4 linked regions of the Schizosaccharomyces pombe genome follow. The main gene of each other region encodes a partner of the protein of the gene in region 2 in a complex. Each region holds a gene or a part of one and is shown on either strand. Other genes may lie near its edges. The genes, in order: mrpl20, mrpl38, mrp20 and mrpl19.

Evidence for each region.
Region 1: mrpl38 (region 2) and mrpl20 share a complex: the UniProt entries of both Schizosaccharomyces pombe proteins name them as parts of the mitochondrial large ribosomal subunit.
Region 3: mrpl38 (region 2) and mrp20 share a complex: the UniProt entries of both Schizosaccharomyces pombe proteins name them as parts of the mitochondrial large ribosomal subunit.
Region 4: mrpl38 (region 2) and mrpl19 share a complex: the UniProt entries of both Schizosaccharomyces pombe proteins name them as parts of the mitochondrial large ribosomal subunit.

Annotation. Positions count from the first base shown.
Region 1 is NC_003421.2:818,258-824,653, reverse strand, and holds mrpl20 (mitochondrial 54S ribosomal protein mL58), read right to left. Parts: upstream 3,360-6,396; 5' UTR 3,011-3,359; coding exon 2,417-3,010; 3' UTR 1,177-2,416; downstream 1-1,176. Other genes in the region: SPOM_SPCC1393.12 (uncharacterized protein), read right to left, coding at 649-975; telomere cap complex subunit Ten1, read left to right, coding at 4,497-4,805; Cu(2+) transporter complex subunit Ctr4, read right to left, coding at 5,326-6,195. UniProt on the Schizosaccharomyces pombe protein: Component of the mitochondrial ribosome (mitoribosome), a dedicated translation machinery responsible for the synthesis of mitochondrial genome-encoded proteins, including at least some of the essential transmembrane subunits of the mitochondrial respiratory chain.
Region 2 is NC_003423.3:3,549,751-3,554,269, forward strand, and holds mrpl38 (putative mitochondrial ribosomal protein subunit L38), read left to right. Parts: upstream 1-1,593; 5' UTR 1,594-1,597; coding exon 1,598-1,639; intron 1,640-1,682; coding exon 1,683-1,740; intron 1,741-1,803; coding exon 1,804-2,084; 3' UTR 2,085-2,141; downstream 2,142-4,519. Other genes in the region: RNA-binding protein Cwf29, read right to left, coding at 1-36, 127-131; sorting nexin Snx3, read right to left, coding at 270-354, 435-631, 687-752, 802-885; SPOM_SPBC887.08 (uncharacterized protein), read left to right, coding at 2,368-2,493, 2,552-2,800; leucine-rich repeat protein Sog2, read right to left, coding at 3,072-4,519. UniProt on the Schizosaccharomyces pombe protein: Component of the mitochondrial ribosome (mitoribosome), a dedicated translation machinery responsible for the synthesis of mitochondrial genome-encoded proteins, including at least some of the essential transmembrane subunits of the mitochondrial respiratory chain.
Region 3 is NC_003424.3:400,139-405,419, reverse strand, and holds mrp20 (mitochondrial 54S ribosomal protein uL23m), read right to left. Parts: upstream 2,535-5,281; 5' UTR 2,361-2,534; coding exon 1,875-2,360; 3' UTR 1,608-1,874; downstream 1-1,607. Other genes in the region: AP-2 adaptor complex subunit Apm4, read left to right, coding at 171-179, 218-282, 341-1,607; ATP-dependent RNA helicase Dbp10, read left to right, coding at 3,226-3,448, 3,549-5,281. UniProt on the Schizosaccharomyces pombe protein: Component of the mitochondrial ribosome (mitoribosome), a dedicated translation machinery responsible for the synthesis of mitochondrial genome-encoded proteins, including at least some of the essential transmembrane subunits of the mitochondrial respiratory chain.
Region 4 is NC_003424.3:3,204,586-3,209,428, reverse strand, and holds mrpl19 (mitochondrial 54S ribosomal protein uL11m), read left to right. Parts: upstream 1-2,888; 5' UTR 2,889-2,894; coding exon 2,895-3,329; 3' UTR 3,330-3,467; downstream 3,468-4,843. Other genes in the region: cytochrome c oxidase assembly protein Cox16, read right to left, coding at 1,449-1,559, 1,679-1,909; npt1 (nicotinate phosphoribosyltransferase), read right to left, coding at 3,836-4,843. UniProt on the Schizosaccharomyces pombe protein: Component of the mitochondrial ribosome (mitoribosome), a dedicated translation machinery responsible for the synthesis of mitochondrial genome-encoded proteins, including at least some of the essential transmembrane subunits of the mitochondrial respiratory chain.

The sequences.
Region 1 (6,396 bases), on a different chromosome or scaffold from region 2:
GTTCTATCTCTTCATCTTGAATATTATTAAATATATCAATTTTGACTCTGTCTACTAGAGCAGATTAAAGCAAAACACTCCTTTCAATCTTTTATTTTTTTAATAATGGAAACTAGGAAAAACCTATAATATCCAAACTATGCATGTATTCATATGCATTATCACTACTCTTAGTCCACATCGCTTACTTTAAATATCATTTTACAGTCTATAATGGAAAATCATGCATGTAAAAATTTCAATCATTCATTTATGCGTTCATGAAAAACATTATTTCAATTAAAAATTCGCTTTTATCTGTACAAAAAAAAGCAAACTTCTATGAGGGTGTTTTTGACAACCCATGGAATCGTCGTTTGTTTGTCATCGCTAATCATTTGGGTTCAGTTGGTTTATGAGAGAAGAAACTAATAATAACATAAAAAAGAATAACGTTAACAACGTTTAATCTCTCCGACTTTGCCGAGATGTGATCCGGAATGTTTGGCAATACGTTTGGAACAATTAACAAGAACACTTAATGGATAGCAGGTATAGAACGAGCCAATGCTAGGCACTTTACGTTTTCAAATACACAACAAACCCTGTGTGTATTTTTTCAAAGTATTGCCACATAACCCTAAATGGCGAGAATTGGGGATTTCCAATTTAAAACCATTTTGAGGTACCCTTTTTAAGGGCTTCTGCTTGTTCAGTACCCTTGGCTTGCGCCTCTGACAACACATTTTTTACGTTTTCACGAGGTTTGTCGAGTTCATCGACAACCCTCTCCTTCCCACTTTGGAGATAAGATTTTGCCTTTTCAGTGGTTTCGCCAACAGCTTTGTCAAATCGTTGACCCTCATTTTCCACGGCTCTGACGATTTCTGCATTCTTCTGTTCCAATCTGGAAGATGCCTGACGATTATGGCGAGTCATATAATAACCAACACCAACAGCAGCGGCCAAGGCTCCAAGAGTAACACGCCTATTCATGATGCTCGATTAGGATTTCGTGAATTAACCGAGTAAAAAAAAATTAATAAATCGAAAGGTTATATAAAAGCGGTTTTCTCCGTACAACACAAAGGATTGATATAATATTCAATCGAGCGCACGAAAAAAAATTAGATTTTTCCTGAACACTAGTAAATGTTCAATTGTAAAGTAAAACAATATTTCAAAGTAGTAAGTCGCTTTTGTTCAACTCACAACTTTATCGTTAATAAGAGTGCTCACTTCTACTTCCCACTGCTCTATATATAACACTTTTAGTAGCACAATACGGCAACGTAAATGAGATCATTCATATACGTATTAACCCACCCACCCATCATATAATTCTTGTGTCTGACTGATGTCACCCCAAAACTTCTCGAGGTACTAAGTAACAAGGAGAGAAGAGGAGAGAGGAGTGTAGGATTTGAGAATCGCAGTATGCAGTATTACAACAAAGCTGTGTCCACCATACAAATTAAGCTTGTTAGAGTCTGTAAAAACAATGTCTTAAAGCAAAATTCCTCAACTAGGTCGCATGTTTCTTTAGACGATCGTTGGAAAATTGGGCCAACAAAGAAGAGCACGTATAGTCACACAAGCTTCAAAAAAGTAGAAAACGGCGAAACAAAGCTTTAATATAAGTAAATAGTAGCTAGAGATGGATGTATTAATGAAATCCGTAGAATGCAAATTGTCCTAAGGAGATGGATGGATGATGGCTGGTGAGGAAACTTGCAAAAGTAAGTATCTCGTGAGTGTTTATAAACGGTTGATGTCGATTGGAAATCTTAAATAGCAACTGCTTAAAAGCCGAAAAAATATCTTTATTTTCACCACTTGAGGTTTGAACGAAAGGGCTCTCTGTACAAGAGGAAATAAAGATGTTTTTTTACTGCTCGCTGACCCAATTAATTATGTACACCATTGTATATTCTCAGTAATAGTTAAAAGATAAAACCAAAAAAAAAAAAAAACTGGCTTGAGTGTTACAAAAGCAACATACTCTATGATTGAGGATTTCCGAGCCTACTAAGCTGAAATGAAAAATTTCCTCATTTGTTCCAAAAAGGAAATATGTACATGAGAAGGGAGAGGTAAAAATGTAAAACAAGTTCGTGCCTGTATAATAACATTTTAAAGGTTGCGACAAAAATTCGCGATATGCAGACCAATGTGCGTAAATGTTGATAGAAATGTAAAGGATAATTCGTAAAATGCCAGAGAGCCTTTGTAAATTAAGAAATAAAGAAGAATGAAGATGTCTGTTTTTTTTGAAAAGCTTCAAAACTAATATTATTTTCCAAGGAACTTTCAAATCACTCGAGTATTTTGTAACGTGATTGAAACATTAAATAATGCAGTCAAAAACGCTTCCGCATGTGCATCAGAGCTTTATTGAAAACCAGAGTTTTAGAATCCCAAAAACTATTAAATTATTTTAAACCTGTGCTACTCGTTCCAATGTACGGAATGCTTGACGAGATGCACGTTGTCGGCGAATTTCACGCTTCTTTGATCCCCAGGCAAGTTTTTCAGCCTCAAAATTTTCTTCAACTTTTTGAATCCTTTCTTTGGGAGCTTCACAAACTCGTGAAATTAGTAACCGAGTTGTGTTAAACTTTTTAGACAGTGTTCCAGTTGTCCAAGCATTCGGATCTTTCGTCCTCAAGTCTTGGATGGATTTGATATCTTCACTACTCAGTTGATGAGTAGAAAACCTCAACTTTCCTTTGCTTTTCGATTTTCGGCTAACTGCCGGCGGGAGAAACATTGACTCTTTGGAAAGTGAGGTATCACGCTGATGAATTGGAGGTGCATCATAGCGAAAAACAGGAGGAGTAATCCTAACATCTGGAGAAGACGCTGGTGGATTGTAATAAGCAGATGTAGTTTCAGTTACCTCTGCTATTTTGGAACCCATAGGAATTTTAGGTCGCTTAGGAATACGTTGTTTAGGGTATAGCCGGTTCAAATTCCGAGTCTGAATGAAGCCTACAGGCTTCAAAAATGAAGGTTTGATTGTAAACAACATGTTTTTACTCTTTCAACTATTTTAATTTTGGTGTCGCTTTAGAAATGATGCTTTAAATTTTTTTGAGAAAAGGTTATAACACAAAAAACTGTAAAGGGCCTTTTGGATAAACCCACACTTCAAATAATATTAGTTATAACGAAGATTCTCAAAGCCTAAAAGCTATAGCAACGACGTGACAAAAGAGCTCAATGCAAAAAAAAAATAAACAGCAAAAAAACACGCAAAAAATCACTTGGAAGAGTTCTAACTTTTGAATTTACAAGAATCGTATTAAGGCTTGCAATTTTCCGAGTAAAAACACGAAATTACTCTCCAAATGCGGGTTTCCTGGAGTTTAGCAGTCTCTATATGCACAGTATCCACACTCTTAGTTTCAATACGTATAATGCAGTGTGTTTATGGCACCTTAAATGTATATTATATAATTCGTTATATTAAAACTGGTTTTTGGCACTTTGACGGTTTATTAAGAGAAATCGGAAGATTCAAGCTAAAAAATATTGTTAACGGCATTTTGATTGTAGGATAAATTCAATACAATTTTGTTTTGCTGTTTTTTTTTTAAACCATTTCTAATCTGTTCATGGTTCAATTTAAATACCGATTATATTGAATACTGGAAGCATGATATTTTAAATATTAAATTAAATTTATTTTATTTTTTTCAATTTTCCATAGATTTTTAGGAAATGTACACACCTTTTCAAACTGACCCAAATTTTTTGCAATGTAAATTATAATATCAAATGGTTAAGTAAGGGGTAACCTTTTGTTTACAGTCAGCTTCAATTTATCAAGTGAATATTAGCCGCATTGGCCCTATAACTAAAATCGGAATTTATTACAAGAACTATTGATTTCTTATAAGGCCTTAAACAACTACATCAGAACATGTTTCCAATTCTCTGCTTGATTTTAATCAATATTATAATGGTATAATAAATAATTATCGTTATCGTTAATAGCTACTTATATTATACAAGTTTACAAGATATTTCAAGAAGCTTTGGTGGTTTAGTGGTATAATGAATCGTTGCCATCGATTCGACCCGGGTTCGATTCCCGGCCAAAGCATTTATTTTTCTCTTTTTATATTCCATCTGACTTAATTTATAAAAACTAATCAAAAGAACCATGCTTGCGTTTTTTGTGGAGTTGCTCAAGTAAACCAATTCATAAATAATAATAATGGAAATGTTGGTCTATTTATCAATCTAATATGCCTCACTGATAGTACTATACGATTATTAGATTTTGCTTTTACTATTGCAAACGAGAGTGTAGTCTTTCTGCACATTTTAAGGATTAATGCAAATTTTTCCTTTTGAAAAAGTCAAACTACGTTTTCTTAATTAAAGCTGCGATCTTAAGTCGCTCATTTACGAAATTCATATTTCAATCGATTACCCAGTTTCCAAACACAAACTATACCACCTTCCCTCATCTTTCCTTGTTCTCCTTTTTACAATATATTTAGCAGCTGATGGATAGTGCTAAACTTATCTTCATTAATCAAATTAACGATTGTAAGGACGGCCAAAAACTTCGATTTTTAGGATGCGTGCAATCATATAAGAATGGCATTCTACGGTTGATTGATGGATCAAGCAGCGTGACTTGTGATGTTACAGTAGTTTTACCTGATGTATCTATTCAAAAGCATGAGTGGCTCAACATTGTTGGGAGAAAGCGGCAGGATGGTATTGTGGATGTCTTGTTAATACGATCTGCTGTTGGAATTAATCTTCCGAGATATCGACAAATGGTTTCTGAACGTCAAAAATGTGATTGATGAATATCTTATGTAGTTCTGTTGCACCATGTCATTACAAACTCATTTAAAAATATATAGAAAGTGATCACCTTAAGATACCATAAAGGTACTGAATCGTGTTAATGTCAGTCTTTATAATAATAAATATTTATTAACCTCCAGGTTCAAAGTCGAAAACAAACAATCATGGTTAAAAAAAAAAAGGAACGAATTACATCTGTTCAAATTGCTATATACTCTAATTTGAATGTTTAACTAACAAAGATAAGCGTTACCTTGTGGCATCTATTTATTTTTGTTGAAACTTTTATTACTTTGTAAAAACTTAAGACAAATTACCAGAATTTGTTTTGTCTTTCCAACATGGACATGTAATATGTGGCTTCAACATTCATCAAAGAATCCTCTTCCAAACTATCAGTGACTGTGCGAAAGAAATTAAAGCGAAGACGATTATGATTAATCAGACGCTTCAGCACTGAAAATGAGTGAGGTGCATGAAATTGGGAATACTAAACCAAATTTAGAGATAATCAAGCTATTCGGTTGTAGGTGTTGTGTCTGAATATTGACTGGAATCATGTTCGTGTTTTTCGTCGGCGACTTGAACGATCGTTTTCGTTTGAACAGATGAAGAGGCCTTAGTAGAGATGGTATCCGCACCAAACAGGAAATAGCCAAAGAAGGTGCCACAAAAGAGAAATAAAATTACATAGCCATTATAATACATTGCGAGTAACATTGCGATATACGCGACAATATACTGGACTAGATAAAAGCAGGACCGAAGAAAATGAAGAAAGATTCGAAGGGCCATGCTTGGACCAGAATGAACAGGGGCACCCGAATGACAGCAGGAATTGCTAGCGGGAGAAAATCTACGGACACACCAACGATCGAACTCTCTTTGTCCGCGACGGACCAATTCCAATGCCATCATCATGAAGATAATTCCGAAAATACTACCGACAAACATATGCTTACTGGTGATATGCCAATGTTTGGTAATAAAGCAAGCATCGATAGTATACCAGTTCCAATACATGGATAATTTACAAGAAGAAGCCTTTGCGGTTGTAGTGGTATTAGTCATATTCATGCCAGACATGGATGTTGTGCTGTTGGACATGTTCATTCCAGACATGGATGTTGTACTATTGGTCATGTTCATTCCAGACATGGGTGTCGTACTGTTGGTCATGTTCATTCCAGACATGGATGTATCATTCGACATGTTCATAGCAGCCATAGCGGCTCTAGCAGTCAAAATTTGCAAAGGTGGGAGCAAATTCTCCAATTGAGACAAGCTAGAGTCATCTACAGGGCCTTGGGAATTTTGAGCCATAGATGTTCCTAACTTAATGAGGGAATTACCCAGACTTTGCTTTGCAGCGGAGAAGAAAGACATGACTTCTAGGGAAAAATAAAAAACCAGAAGAGTAGTAAATGAGTTTTAGAAAAAAAGGACGAAAGAGTTAAAAGAAAACTTGAAGATTAGGGAAGACCAGTATCTTACTAACTTTGACAATTATATATTTAGATGAAAAATTTTTGTTCTTAAAAAACAAGAAAACAGAATATATGCAGATGAAAATTAACCCTACGAAAC
Region 2 (4,519 bases):
TCTTGCTCGTTTAAACGCTCAATTTGACGAATGGAGCTACTTTTGTTAATTTTAAAATTAAAAAACGAAAACAGCGAAAAGATGAATCGGATTTTTGCTATATTTTAGCCTCAATAGAAAACTTACTTCATAACAACCTAAGGTATTTTAAATGGTAATTAAACTTTGTAACAGATTGATTTCCAAATTTTTCTTTTAAAATAAAAAAAAAGATTGACAAAAATTAACAGTTGGAGGGCAAAATGGAGAAAAACAAGTTAGCGGCGGGTTTATGGCGTAGGCTTGAATTCCGGGCTTTGTAAAAAAGAAGATAAAACACGAGAATGGGTTTGAATAAGAGGATGTCCAGCAACTCTACATAATAATGTATTAGTTTTTGTGCAATTTAAAACGCTCTTTGGGGCAATAAGGCAAAATTAACATTCAATACTTACAGTCGTAAAAAATTTTCCAAACCTTGTCTACGTTCTTCGATAACATCATCTCTAAATCTTTGAGTGAATATCTTTCCTGGAAGTGGTGGAATTGAAACACGACCGGACTCTCTTTCAAGCATATCGTGAAATTTCTCGAATTCGCTGTAACGTCGACGAACGCTAGAATTATGTAGACGAAAATAGGGCATATTGGTCTACAAAAATGAGTTAATAATCTGCTATCAGAAGATGAATTTCAGTGGTACCTACCCGACAAACAATTTCATAAGTAGTAAACATGTTTCTTCCAATACCGTGAGTTTGTGGATTTATAACCTAAAATAACATCTATTAGAAATATTTCGAAATAATAAAGTAAACATACATCAATTTCAAGGATGTTTTCAGGAACATCATACATTTGTTGAGTAGTTTGCTGCCTGATTTCCGGTCTACTTAATTTATCCATTTATTTACCCTTATTACTCTTAAGAGCGATATCCAATATTATTTTACTGTTTAACAAGTAATAGTTGAAATTTTGAAGAAGTTTAAAAGTTTCGATACAAGGTGTAGTGTCTAGCTCAGATACGGGTACGGCTAATGAGATTCATAATCGGATCGCAAATTAGTAAGGCGTTTACTGTAAACATATCGCAGAGCATTTTTTCAAACTGCGTCGTCTAAAGATGAGAATGATAGTTCATTTGCTTCCAAAAAATAAAATGGATTCACTAACGTCCAAATCCTCCTCTCACTTTCAACAAAATTAACGAGTAATACAAAATCAAATATGTAGCATACAATCCATTATGATATTTTAATATGATAAGAGCAATTGCTAGTCAATATCACATTTTTGCTTTAATGACTATTCCACAACTCCATGCATGATGAAGAATTTGATTAAAACATGTGTAACAAGCAAAACATCAGAAGGTTAAAGCAAGATAACAGGTTATGACAAACAATTTGCTTGGAATAATTTCATATTTGAATGCATCTAATCAAATCGCTTTTTTTTTAATACAAACAGTTGTTTTTATTTATATATTTTGCGATGTGTTACATACTACGATATGCCAACTAACGTCAAATACCAAATTCTAATATTACGCATAGTGTAATTTATAGTGGAAGCGAGTACGTGAATGTATGGTCAAGTACTTGAATCTTTAGCAATGATCGGACTTAAAGGTATACTCAAAGTTATCGACAATTCCGTAAGTTTAAAATATTACTATTTGTACTAATAAGATGGAAAAGGGTGCTACCTTAGCTGAGTGCATTCGTGTAGTTCGCGCGGGAAAATTCGCTTCACTTGGTAAGTAGCACGAAGTGATCTTTTGTTTATATTCGACTAACATCACCTTTTTTTAAAAAACAGGTGATGAAGTGGTAGTAGTGGTAAAAAAGGCACGAAGCGGTTCATCAGTTACTGCTGCTAATAAAGTTAAACGCGGTGATATCCACCATGCTATCATTGTTCGGACGAAATCACCAGTTCGAAGACCCGATGGTCGTTATGTTCGTTTTGATGATAATGCCTGCGTCTTGGTTAATAAGGAGTGTGAGCCTCTGGGAACCCGTATCTTGTCAGTCGTTGCCAACGAGCTCAGAACAAAACATCATACTAAAATAGCATCTCTTGCTCCACGAACCATCTGAAAAGGGTATTGTAATGTTAATATTTCACTTAATTAAAATATATTTTTTAATTTTCTATTCTACGTCTAATTAAGGGACCTTGTCTCTTCAGCAAACACTTTTTACCTGATAGCCAATTAAGATTTTGCTTTTTTGGAGTTTTGTTACTCGTAAGCATTGTGGGGTTAAAAGGTTTTTACTACACACTTTTTTAGTAAAATACAGCTGTAGCAGGCTTTATTATATAGTCCATTATCTGTTAAATATATCTGATCGATCAAAAGAATTTAATGTTCTAGTAAGAATGGATTTGCTGGCGATTGATTTGGATTTTGATGTTAGTGAGTCAAAGCTTGAACGGAATAAGCGATTAAAACAGAAAGTAAGCATTGAAACTGATGGATGGACTCCAAGAGTTCAATGTTTTGGTGTATGTTACTCATTTTTTACTCCCAATTTATTGTCTATGATTTTAACAGATTATTCAGCATCTTAGTAAAAATGGCGTCGTCCTCGGTGAAGAAGCCTATATTTTAGAGCAATCAAAATTTGCAGCGGAAGAACAATATTATCTGGGAAACTATTCCTTAGCTAAAAAGTTTGCATTTCAAGCACTTGATGTTCCAACTGATAGTTCCAGCATTGAGTACCACAGACTGAGTTCAGGCGAAATCAATGAAATTGAAGACATCATCAGAAGATGCGAAATGAAACTTGAAAATAAGCAAAGCAATTAATTAGAAAAAATTTTTGTCTTGTCAAAGAGTACCTACCCAAAACTACACACTCTGTCTAATTTTTGTACATGATTTTCATGTGGAAACAGATTAATCACTACTTGTACCATCATCCTTTACAATTTGTCCTTGGTTTTGTTATTTGAATAAGAAATAAATTAATCAAATTCAATCGTGCATCATTTTTTGTATCATTAAATTTATAGTCTTTGTAGGCTTTTGAGTTATCGAGTTACCAATTATTCCTCATCAATCTTCATTAAAAAATTCTTTAGCGCTGTAAACCTTCCACGTTCCCATCCGCGTCAGTAAAGTAATCGATTTTATTAGTACTATAGGCTGACGCCGGAATTGCAGCTGGTGACATGATTAGAGGAGATGTAATAGATTGAGCAGCCGAACCCAGAGCCGCTGACAACGGTGTTGCAGGTACGCGGGCTATTGGGGACATCAAAGGAACAGGAGTGGCTAAAGATGACTCAGTGTAATGTCGAGCAGAGGAAGAAAGTAAGATAGTAAGATCTTTTGTAGATCTTGTTGCAGCTGAAAGACCAGCTAATACGCTTTTTTGGAATGTATATTCACTGGATAACGCTTTCGCTAAATTTGCGACTGCAATAATAGACTTGACAAATGCTTGAGTGTCGTCCAAAAAAAGCTGCCATTCCAATTCTTCCGGATTCGTTTGAAAAGTTAGAAGGCGATGCTTAAGTTTTCTAGTAACATCACAGGCGGCGGCGGATAATGATCCCAATTCACGTAACTTACTAATCAAATTGGGTGCGATGTTTTCATTTACTAGATCAGGCTGGTTATTTTTAGGAACAGCATCAATTAGTAATGTCAAAACTGACATTGCACTGTTTGTTGCTAAAGCGACCTGATCTTGTATTTGTTTATCAATTTCAGGATTCATCACTGATGCTGGTTTTTCAACGCTAACGATTCTGTTCGTAAGCCCAGATGCAGTCCGGATCATACTTGTCGGAGATTGACGTACCTGATCGGCGAATATGTTATTACCACTATGGGGTTGTGATGGACTCAATGGTACCAAGGCGTTTTGTAACTCCTTTGCAGCATCGAAAAGAATTAGCAGTAAAAGCCGAACATATCGGACATCCGCACGACTAGTGAGCTCATTTAAAAATTTTTTTGTCACTTCAATTAGTTTACGAAACGAGCTGATACAAGACAATGAAGCGTTTACTATGGAATTAATGTTTGCAGTTCCATCATTGCTTTGTTGGGTATCCTCAAAGCACAGAATTAGCCGCTTAATTTGAACATTGGCAGTATGTAACACATGACGCATAGAATCTAAAACAACGGGGTTGCTGCAAAAAAGAAGTTGCTGACGAAGGGCTTGTTGGACTTGCGAAAGCGAAAACAATATGCCCCTAGACGACTCTAAAGTTTTTTCAAAGGCCGAGTGCTTCATTTCAACCTCACTCCCTCCAATGTTACTGAAGTAGCTGTTGACCGAGTCATTTGTCAAATTGGAGCCATTTTCATGCGTTTCTTCTTTTTTCAAACGAGGGGAAGGATGAGGATCTTGAGCAAAAATTCGATTTGGTAATTGCTCAGAAAGTTTGCGCGCTTCTTTAAGGGCTTCAAGACGATGTAAAACACTCGATGGAAGTCTAGTAGAAGAGTAATCATCATTTGTACTATTGCTTCTATTACGCTCTTTCTTGGCAACCTCAGGTAAACTTATGG
Region 3 (5,281 bases), on a different chromosome or scaffold from region 2:
TAATTTTCTCCTATTCCATTTGCAATAAAATACCTCTTGGACCGTCTACGTTTATTCTTATAACGGGGTTGAATAGCCTGTACGTTTCGTTGCATATCGTTCAAAGCTACGTTCAACTGCCTGTAGTCAGATACTCAGTACTTGTTACATTTGCATATTATCAATATTCCATGATTTCGGTTAGTATTAATATTCTATTTGTAGCTAACTATATTAGGGATTGTTTATTTTTAACCTGAAAGGTGACACGCTCATTTGCAAGACTTTTCGGCATGATTTAAAGTATGTAGATTACATTTTTGTGCTTTTGATTCATTTTCACTAATTTTTCATTTGAAAGGAAATCAGTAACTGAAATTTTTCGCGTTGCTATTCTAACAAATACTGATTATCGGCACCCAATTGTCAGTATTGGATCAAGTACTTACATTTACACGAAACACGAGGATCTTTACGTGGTTGCCATTACCAAAGGAAATCCAAATGTTATGATTGTTTTGGAATTTTTGGAGAGTCTAATTCAAGATTTGACACATTATTTTGGGAAACTGAATGAAAATACAGTCAAAGACAATGTCTCCTTTATTTTCGAGTTGCTGGATGAAATGATAGACTATGGTATCATTCAGACTACTGAACCTGACGCACTTGCAAGATCTGTCAGCATAACAGCTGTCAAAAAGAAAGGCAATGCACTGTCCTTGAAAAGGTCTCATTCCTCTCAGTTGGCACACACCACTTCCTCTGAAATACCAGGGTCTGTACCATGGCGTAGAGCTGGCATTAAGTATAGAAAAAATAGTATCTACATTGATATTGTTGAAAGAATGAATTTACTTATTAGCTCTACTGGAAATGTGCTACGCTCAGATGTTTCTGGTGTCGTGAAAATGCGTGCAATGCTTTCTGGAATGCCTGAATGTCAGTTTGGGCTAAATGATAAGCTTGATTTTAAATTAAAACAATCAGAAAGCAAGTCTAAATCAAATAACTCTAGAAATCCGTCCTCAGTTAACGGAGGATTTGTCATTTTAGAAGATTGCCAGTTTCATCAATGTGTTAGATTGCCGGAATTTGAAAATGAACACAGAATTACTTTCATTCCGCCGGATGGTGAGGTTGAATTAATGAGTTATCGTTCACATGAAAACATAAATATTCCTTTTAGAATTGTTCCTATTGTCGAACAGTTGTCGAAACAAAAAATTATTTATCGTATCAGTATACGAGCAGACTATCCACACAAACTTTCTTCTTCTTTGAACTTTCGGATACCGGTTCCCACAAATGTGGTAAAAGCTAATCCTCGTGTAAATCGAGGAAAGGCAGGGTACGAGCCCTCTGAAAATATTATCAATTGGAAAATTCCCCGGTTTTTAGGCGAAACTGAACTTATTTTTTACGCTGAGGTAGAGTTATCTAATACAACTAACCAGCAAATATGGGCGAAGCCTCCAATATCCTTAGATTTCAATATTCTTATGTTTACCAGCTCCGGTCTACATGTGCAATACTTAAGGGTCAGTGAACCTTCTAATAGCAAATACAAAAGTATTAAATGGGTAAGGTACTCAACTAGGGCTGGAACTTGCGAGATACGCATTTAAGAAGTATTGTGATACAAAATTATTATTTTATTAATTGACGACCGTGCTTTTCCGACATGAAAAGAATTTCCAAAATAGTTTTAGAACATTTCAAAATGAAACAAGTGGCGTTGAAAGTTTAATAGATGAAAGAAGAGAGGTTATAATGAATGCAATTAAACACCATACCGCTTCGATGAGGCATTTGAGGCTATAATTATGCTTTTGTAGGCATTAATGAATAGACGGAAACCAAAATAAAACATTACCTGGGAAATGAAAAAAATACTAATACTTTTTCTTTAAAAGTCTAGCGATTTTCTGTTGTGATTCGAGTATCTGCTTATCTTGTAACTTACTTAACTCTTCGTTCACCCGTTTCATGTCAACTTGTTCAAGGACCTTTGGATACCTGCTCAGGGTTTTCACATTAGAACCATCAGGAAGTAATTCACCCTCCTGCCAATCTTTCAAATCATTTGGGGCATTTGGGTAAACGAAAGGTTCTTCCATCTCAACGATGACGCGTTTTTCAGATTGTGGTCTCTTAACCTGTCCTAGTTGATTTCTAAAAAGTTTGCCCTGATAAATTCTTGACTTAACTGATACGACTTTTAAATTGTACACATGTTGCAAATAATCGCGAACATCAAACTTGTTAACATGAAGAGGTACGCGAAATACTGCAAATTTAGGTTGAAGATTTAGTCCTCTGCATAACGTGAACGTTATATTTGGAAAGTACACTAATCTTTTCCCAGCAATTTTACTCATATTTACTATTGAGTTTCAACTTCAAGGCTAAAGCAACTTGTGCTAGTTATGCAAAAAAAGAGAAACAAATGGTTTTTCTCAACAGTAGATTTCAAGATGAATTTGATGTCAACGGCCTTAGGTAAACGATTAGTTATTAACCATTTGTTGGATTACGGAGTTCAAATGTTGTTTAGTACTAACGTGCTGAGAATCCGGTTGCTTTATTGCATCAAAGCTCAGTTGTATACTATTAACAAATAACGTCTCTGGTTGTATTATCCTAGAACGTAATATATGTAAGCTACGCAATTTGGTATCTGATTTAAGGATACGTAGAACTGCGGTGAGTTTTCCTTGTGATCTATTATATTGTAATACGCAAGTAGTATAAGTAGGAATTGGATATAGGTATTCTAATATATAGGATATATCGTTATCTATAGCTGAGATATCTTATAACTGAACTGAGGAATCAAATTCAGTTGTTCTCAATTTATAACATTTGAAATAACAAGGATTATAACTGATAGTCATCTTATCATAAATGATATTATATCCTTCTAGATAACTTATCATGTAAAGCTGATAGAGCAAATAGAACATTATGAACATGTGACATATAGTGATACACAACGTAGTATATCGTAGCGTAGTGTAGTATTGCTGACATATAAAGCAGCTTATTTCAAGTTCGTTATAGTTTATTAAAATACGTTGGATTACTTATTTTTAATATAAAGAAACGCAGCAGAACAATTGAAATGAGAATGTTAAATCAAACTTAAGAAGGCCCTTTTGATAGTTGTTATTCATACGGTAAATTTTCTTGCCAGCGACACTAGAGAACTAAAAAATCAACAAAAGTGCAGCTCACTCGTCTTAAATGTCCGGATTCCAGACGTCCGACGAGGTCGATATATCAAATTCTTTAAAAGCTTTTCCTGTTGATATTGCTACTGATAATCAAAAAGATAAGCACGAAAATGTTGGTGAAAATGTGAGCGATGAAGATGATGGTAATTATATTGCCTCGAAGCTTTTGGAGTCTAACAGGAGGACGAAGGGAAAAAAGGGGAATGGAAAGGCTTCTAATTTCCAATCGATGGGTATGTTAACTTCGTGATTACTTGCCATAAGGTCACTTTGCATTATGCTTCAAGACACTGTAATCTAAATTACTTTGATATTTTTCTAACTTAATTATAGGATTGAATCAAACTTTACTTCGAGCAATATTTAAGAAGGGTTTTAAAGCTCCTACGCCGATTCAGCGCAAAACGATTCCCCTTTTATTGGAAGGTCGTGATGTTGTAGGTATGGCACGTACTGGATCAGGTAAAACTGCAGCTTTTGTTATACCTATGATTGAGCATTTGAAGTCCACTCTAGCAAACTCTAATACTCGCGCCTTAATTCTCTCGCCAAATCGAGAACTTGCTCTTCAGACTGTGAAAGTCGTCAAAGACTTTTCTAAAGGTACGGATCTTCGATCTGTCGCTATCGTCGGTGGCGTCAGTCTAGAGGAGCAATTTAGTTTGCTATCCGGAAAACCCGATATTGTGGTCGCAACTCCTGGAAGATTTCTACATTTAAAGGTGGAAATGAAATTGGAGTTGAGTTCAATCGAGTATGTCGTTTTCGATGAGGCCGATAGACTTTTTGAAATGGGTTTTGCTGCTCAATTGACAGAGATTTTACATGCTTTGCCGACTTCTCGTCAAACTCTTCTCTTCTCTGCCACACTTCCACGTACTCTTGTTGATTTTGCAAAGGCTGGACTTCAAGACCCGGTTCTTGTACGCCTTGATGTAGAATCCAAGGTTTCCGCGGATCTACAAAGTGCCTTTTTTTCTGTTAAAACCGCTGAACGCGAAGCTGCTCTCTTATGTATACTACAAGATATCATTAAGCTTCCTCTAAAAGATAACGTGCGCCCAAGAGAAATAGGAAATGTCAATAATCCGAAGAAAAGAAAACGTGCATTAGAATTAGCGCTTAAAGGAAGTGAATCTGGATCACCAGATTCTACTCTAGTATTTGTTCCTACAAAACATCATGTCGAGTATGTTTCTGAGTTACTTGTTCAAGCAGGATATTCGGTTTCAAAAATTTACGGGTCTTTGGACCAAGAAGCGCGTCTCAATGAAATTAATAATTTTCGACTTGGAAAAACAAATTTACTAGTCGTTACAGACGTAGCTTCTCGTGGTATTGACATCCCATTACTTGCTAATGTTATTAATTATGATTTCCCTCCTCAACCAAAAGTTTTTGTTCACCGTGTAGGACGTACAGCTCGAGCAGGACGCACTGGCTGGGCGTATTCATTGGTTAGAGCAGAAGATGCTGGTTATTTATTAGACTTACAACTATTTTTAAACCGACCTTTAGTTACATCCTCGAAGCAGGTTAAAACTGACTCGGATTGTGATTTTACAAAACAGATTGTTTTGGGATCATTACCCCAAGAACTTGTTGCTGAGCTACTAGAATGGGTACAAAGAATAGTTTCGAGAGACGTTGAGCTACAGCAACTTTCCAACGTTGCTGCAAGGGGTGAGAAACTATATTTTCGCACAAGAGCTACTTGTAGTGCTGAGAGTGCTAAAAGAGCTAAGGAATTGGTTGATAGCAAGGGCTGGAGTTCCAACAATCCATTATTTGGAGATGTATCGGTAATTGAGGCCGAGGAGAAATATGCTGAATTGCTTTCAAAAGTTTCTTCTTATCGGCCATCAGAAACAGTATTTGAAATCGGTCAGCGTGGTCACTTAAAGACAGAAGCTGCAGAAATCATGCGGAAAAGAAGAAACAAAGTAAAACCAAAAGGAATAAAATCTGAAGTTGCATCTGATAAAATCACTGACAGTTCTCCTGGTAATATGTCAGAAGCTTCAGAGTCAGAGCTTGAAGAGGTATTTAAAAATCCTAAGGAGTTA
Region 4 (4,843 bases), on a different chromosome or scaffold from region 2:
CTCATTTTTTTGGTATACTATAACAAGTAGCTCGAGAAAATTATTGAAAGAGCACAATGTATTGTTTGCGGATATTTAAAAAGGAAATGAAAGTAAAGTACTTTGGTTGGTGTTTTCTCTTGTACATTATATATTCCCAAAACACCGATTCAAATCAATCGGAACAAATTTATATGGCACAAAAAATTGCAATTTAGTGCAATAGCTCATCGAGTAATAGATCGATGACATAGCTGAACTTTCATAATTATTTTACAGTTCTTCGGGGAAAGGGTAAAATTTAGTCATTTCATCTGAATAAGTTTTCAATTTCATGCCTCATAAGTATTTGCACAAGTATGTCAGTAAACATTAGCGGGTCAAATACCAATTTTTTGCATATAGCATACGCTAAAAAATCGATGAAATCTTTATTGTTTAAAAGTATTGGTTTACTCGTTAAACGCTTCAATTTAGCAAATATGTACATATCTTCGGCATAGTTAGCAAGTAACAAAACCATTTATAAGTTGTGGTAGATTGTTAACTAAGTGGATTCGCTTGTGATAACTTAGATTAATCGAATATGATATCTCGGCTTGTATAATTTTAATATCACCTATGCAATAAATCAGCTTTGCAAATATCACGCCGTCTTATACATAAGAACGTTCACCAGGAATCCAAACTAGTCGTACGCTAAAAATAAATTTTTACGGGTATTGGAGATCTTTTGTTTACTATAGTGCGTTAGTTTGTTCACTGCTTCTGGATAATATATATAATTTTCAATGACTTAAAGACGATGCAATACCAAGTATTACCATTATAAAGAAGAAATTAATATTAAATTTAATCCTTATTAACAGTGTGTCACTATTTGAATACTGTCCTTAGCTCCTCCATCTTTCGTTGTAAACGCATTCGAAAAGGCTTCTTTACAACTTAGACAAACAGTAGATAGAATCAGACCATGCGTTAGTATCATTAGTAATTGTAATGGTCCAAAGCATATAATAAAGAGAGATGGCACTTATTTGATTGCTTTCAAAACAAGTTCTATTTAACAAGTTACTTATATATAACGGAAAGCCAAAAATAAACCGTTTACTAGTAAAGAAACCTTTCTGAATGCTCCTATTATTAAAACGCTTTTAGGCTTGAGTGACATATTCATAGTGAAATTTACGCTCAAATATCTTCATTGAAAGTTTATTCTACTGAATATGCTTAAGTGTAAGTATTTGGTCCTTTAAATTGAAGATAATTATATATGAGCCACATAAATATTATTCTCATGTTAGAAAAAAAAATTCTTGCTTTATTTATTTGAGTATTTCCATATGCTAAAACACTCTGTATCATAAAGTCGTCTTCAGCATTCTCACTTCAAAAACTTGTATCCTTTTCAATACTCCATAATTAATAATAAAATAAAGGAACAAAATAACAATAAAATCGTTCATTATTCATTCTTTATCGCTTGAATTTCCTTCCCATGTAGGCTCCCCTTTTAACCTCTTTACACGTTTATTTTCGTACTCCTCGTTCTGTAGATTCAACTGATCTAATAAGATCCTCTATAACAGGTGGTTAATAAAAAAGGAACTGGTGAATGTAAATTCACGAAAAGCAAATGCACTTTGCAGCTGGTTGCCAAAACTTAAATATTGTAAAACAAGATCAGCACTTTACTTACATAATATTCTTCATTAACGTCGACCTTTCTTCTTCTTTTAATAATGTCTAACTCTGCATCCCGGGACAAGGATTTAACTTGTTCATCTCGTCTGTTAAATTTGACTTGGGAAATGGGGATCAAGCATGACCAGACTAATAATACTGAGCTCAAAAACGGCAATCCAACGTAAATAAACGGACTTTTCTTGGCTTGAAGCCTATACCAACTTTTAAATCGATAGAAAAGCATTTTAATTTATTAACATCCTTACATTCGCTGAAAACGATGGATTGTTAAGAATGTGTAGTAAATAGCAAGTTGGTTAAGATGATTATGGCAAACTTCACTCAGCATGTTAGGATGGAAATTAATAAGATAGTCGTTGGTTTGTAATAATTAATTTTAAGAGTAGAGTTTTAATAGAAATCTGCACTTTGAAATCTTTTTATTTCTACTAATTATTCAAGCTGCATCGCGTGACAGCATTCCTACATAGCCCAAGCACTTCAGGTGAAAACCCTTTATAGTTTTAATTACAATACACATTAGGAAAAAGAAACATATCGATGGCATGTGCTAGTGACAGACTGTGACTTCCAGTAAACATGTGTTTTACTTTGTTTACCATAAAATGGTATGTAAAATGTTTATTGAAAGTAATAAAATAGCTGAGAAAAGACCATTTAATTTCAGCTTGTGATTCAAATGAAATAATCATGCTTTTTAGTTAGGATATTTGCCAATCCCTAAAAACTTAATATATTAATTGATAGTAAGGAGTTAACTTTGAAAAGCTATGTAGCTAAATTTTGGTTTGCTTCTTTTAAACGGCTTCAATTCAGCGCTATTGTTGTTCAACAAATGAAAAATTTTGCGACATTTTAACTAATCCGTATTTGAGATTCAAAAATCAACTAAAATTTTTCAAAAAAATCCTAAAACGAACAACGTTTATGAAAACGTCTTTTCCATTTATCTGAGTTGCCTATTTAATGTCAATACTTTTACTTCTATTCAATCAAGCAGAAGAGAAGGACACATTTGGTCTATTCGGGAATTTTTCTGACTGCTATTAAAAGCTTTAATATTACAAATAAGTAAACACATTACAATTAATTCACCCAAATATTTCAAATTAGTTATTATTCTAATTACAATTATTTTTAAGGAAGAACATGTTACTTTATTGCATGAGAGACATACAACTTACAACTGTATTTTCTTCTTTAACCTTATGGCTTCTACTAGAACGACAATCATAAAATTAATTGTACCGGCAGGAAAAGCTACGCCTACGCCTCCAATTGGACCTGCCCTTGGTGCTCGCGGGTTGAAGAGCATAGACTTTTGTAAAGAATTTAATGCGCGGACGGCAGGTTGGATGCCAAATACCCCAGTGCCTTGTAAAATTACTGTCACACCTCAAAGAACATTTACTTTCACTATACATACTCCTCCAACCAGTTGGTTAATCTCTAAAACCCTCGACCTTGAAAAAGGTTCAAGTTCCCCATTACATGATATAAAGGGACAATTAAGCTTGAAGCATATATATGAAATTGCCAAATTGAAAAGTACTGATCCAAGCTTACAAGGAATAGAGCTTCTTTCTCTTTGTAAAAGTGTCATTGGAACAGCTAAAAGCATGGGCGTCAAAGTCGTACCTTAATCTTATGAGACGCCAGAGCATTTTGTAACTGGTCATACTTGAGGTTATTTTTTTTTCTATCTTGTTATAAACTATTCCCCTCTTTTTTCTTGAATAAAAGCAGTTAATGATATGACTTTTTACTATTACCGACTAAAACGTTGTCCCTGTTTTCTTATTTTCTCCTTTTCTTAGTTGTTTTATATTATTCCTTCGTTAAACAAGCAAAGTAAAAAAACACGTTTGCCATATAAAATTAAAGAATTGCATACCGTTAGTTTACAAACACATCTTAGACTAAATGATTACCTTTAGCATTAAACTATCAATATAGATAACGAAACAGATATGCTAAGCAGAAAAGAAAATGAAGATTTTCAAGTGTGAGTTTTATGTTTACTCTAAGTCACGCCTTATGAAATGCAGCTCAATAAAAGAGAGCCTCAAACTCTGTCTATCTATCAAAAAATAAGAAAAAAAAAACCAAGATTAGTACTGCAGAAACGCTCGAAAATAAAAGAAATGGCTTATGCTATAGGGAGGCATAATTGATGCTTGGCTTGAATAACAGCATCACGATCACCAGTATTTTTCATGATATCGTCACTAATCTTCACTGCTTTAGTTCCTTCAGCGGAAAAAAGCTTAATAACAATATTCATAGGTTTGCTCACTTCACTGGGATTGGAAACTTTTTGGAAGTCGCTGGTAAGATTTGTGCCGATGCCAAATGCAGACTTAATGCCACATTTCTCGCAGTATTTGTACAGTTCGATACATCTGTCAACATTTAAAGCATCGCTATGAACAATTACTTTTGTGGAAGGATCGACACCTATTGATTTATAGTGCTTTACGACTTTTTCAATGTATTCCTCAGCACAACCGCTATCTTGACGAACACCATGGAAAACATTGGCTAAATCGTCGGCAGAATTGGCTGTAAAAGATTTGAGAAACACATCAGTAGAGAATGTATCCGTTAAGGCTATTAAAAGACTAGTACCAAAAGTTTGGACCCACTTTAAGGAAGCAATACGATTTGCTTGTTTATAATTTTGAGTAATAGCTGCAATGCCCATATACCACTCGTGAGCAACCGTACCAGAGACATTTAGATTATATTTGGCGGCGAAGTAAACATTAGATGTACCAAGGAAACTTCCAGGGCCCTTAAAATCCTCTTGTGCTTTCATGAGACCTTGGAGAACAATTTCCTGGGTGTGAGGATCACGACGACGACGAGTGCCAAAGTCAGTAAAGGCACATCCGGCTCGGATGAGACGCTTACCCTTCTCGTAAGCTTTTTCAAACTGACCCTCAGGTGACCAGTCCTTATCGACAAATTTAAAATAAGATTCTGAGACGAGAGCAAGCAGTGGAATTTCATAAAAAATGGTATTCTTCCAGAGGCCGTGAATAAAGATTGAGAGATCCTTAGTTTCAGAATCATAATTAAGGGAAATTGAATTTTCAGGATCAAATTCGAACTCATGCATGAATTCATAAAATGATTCCTTTAAATAAGGACAGTT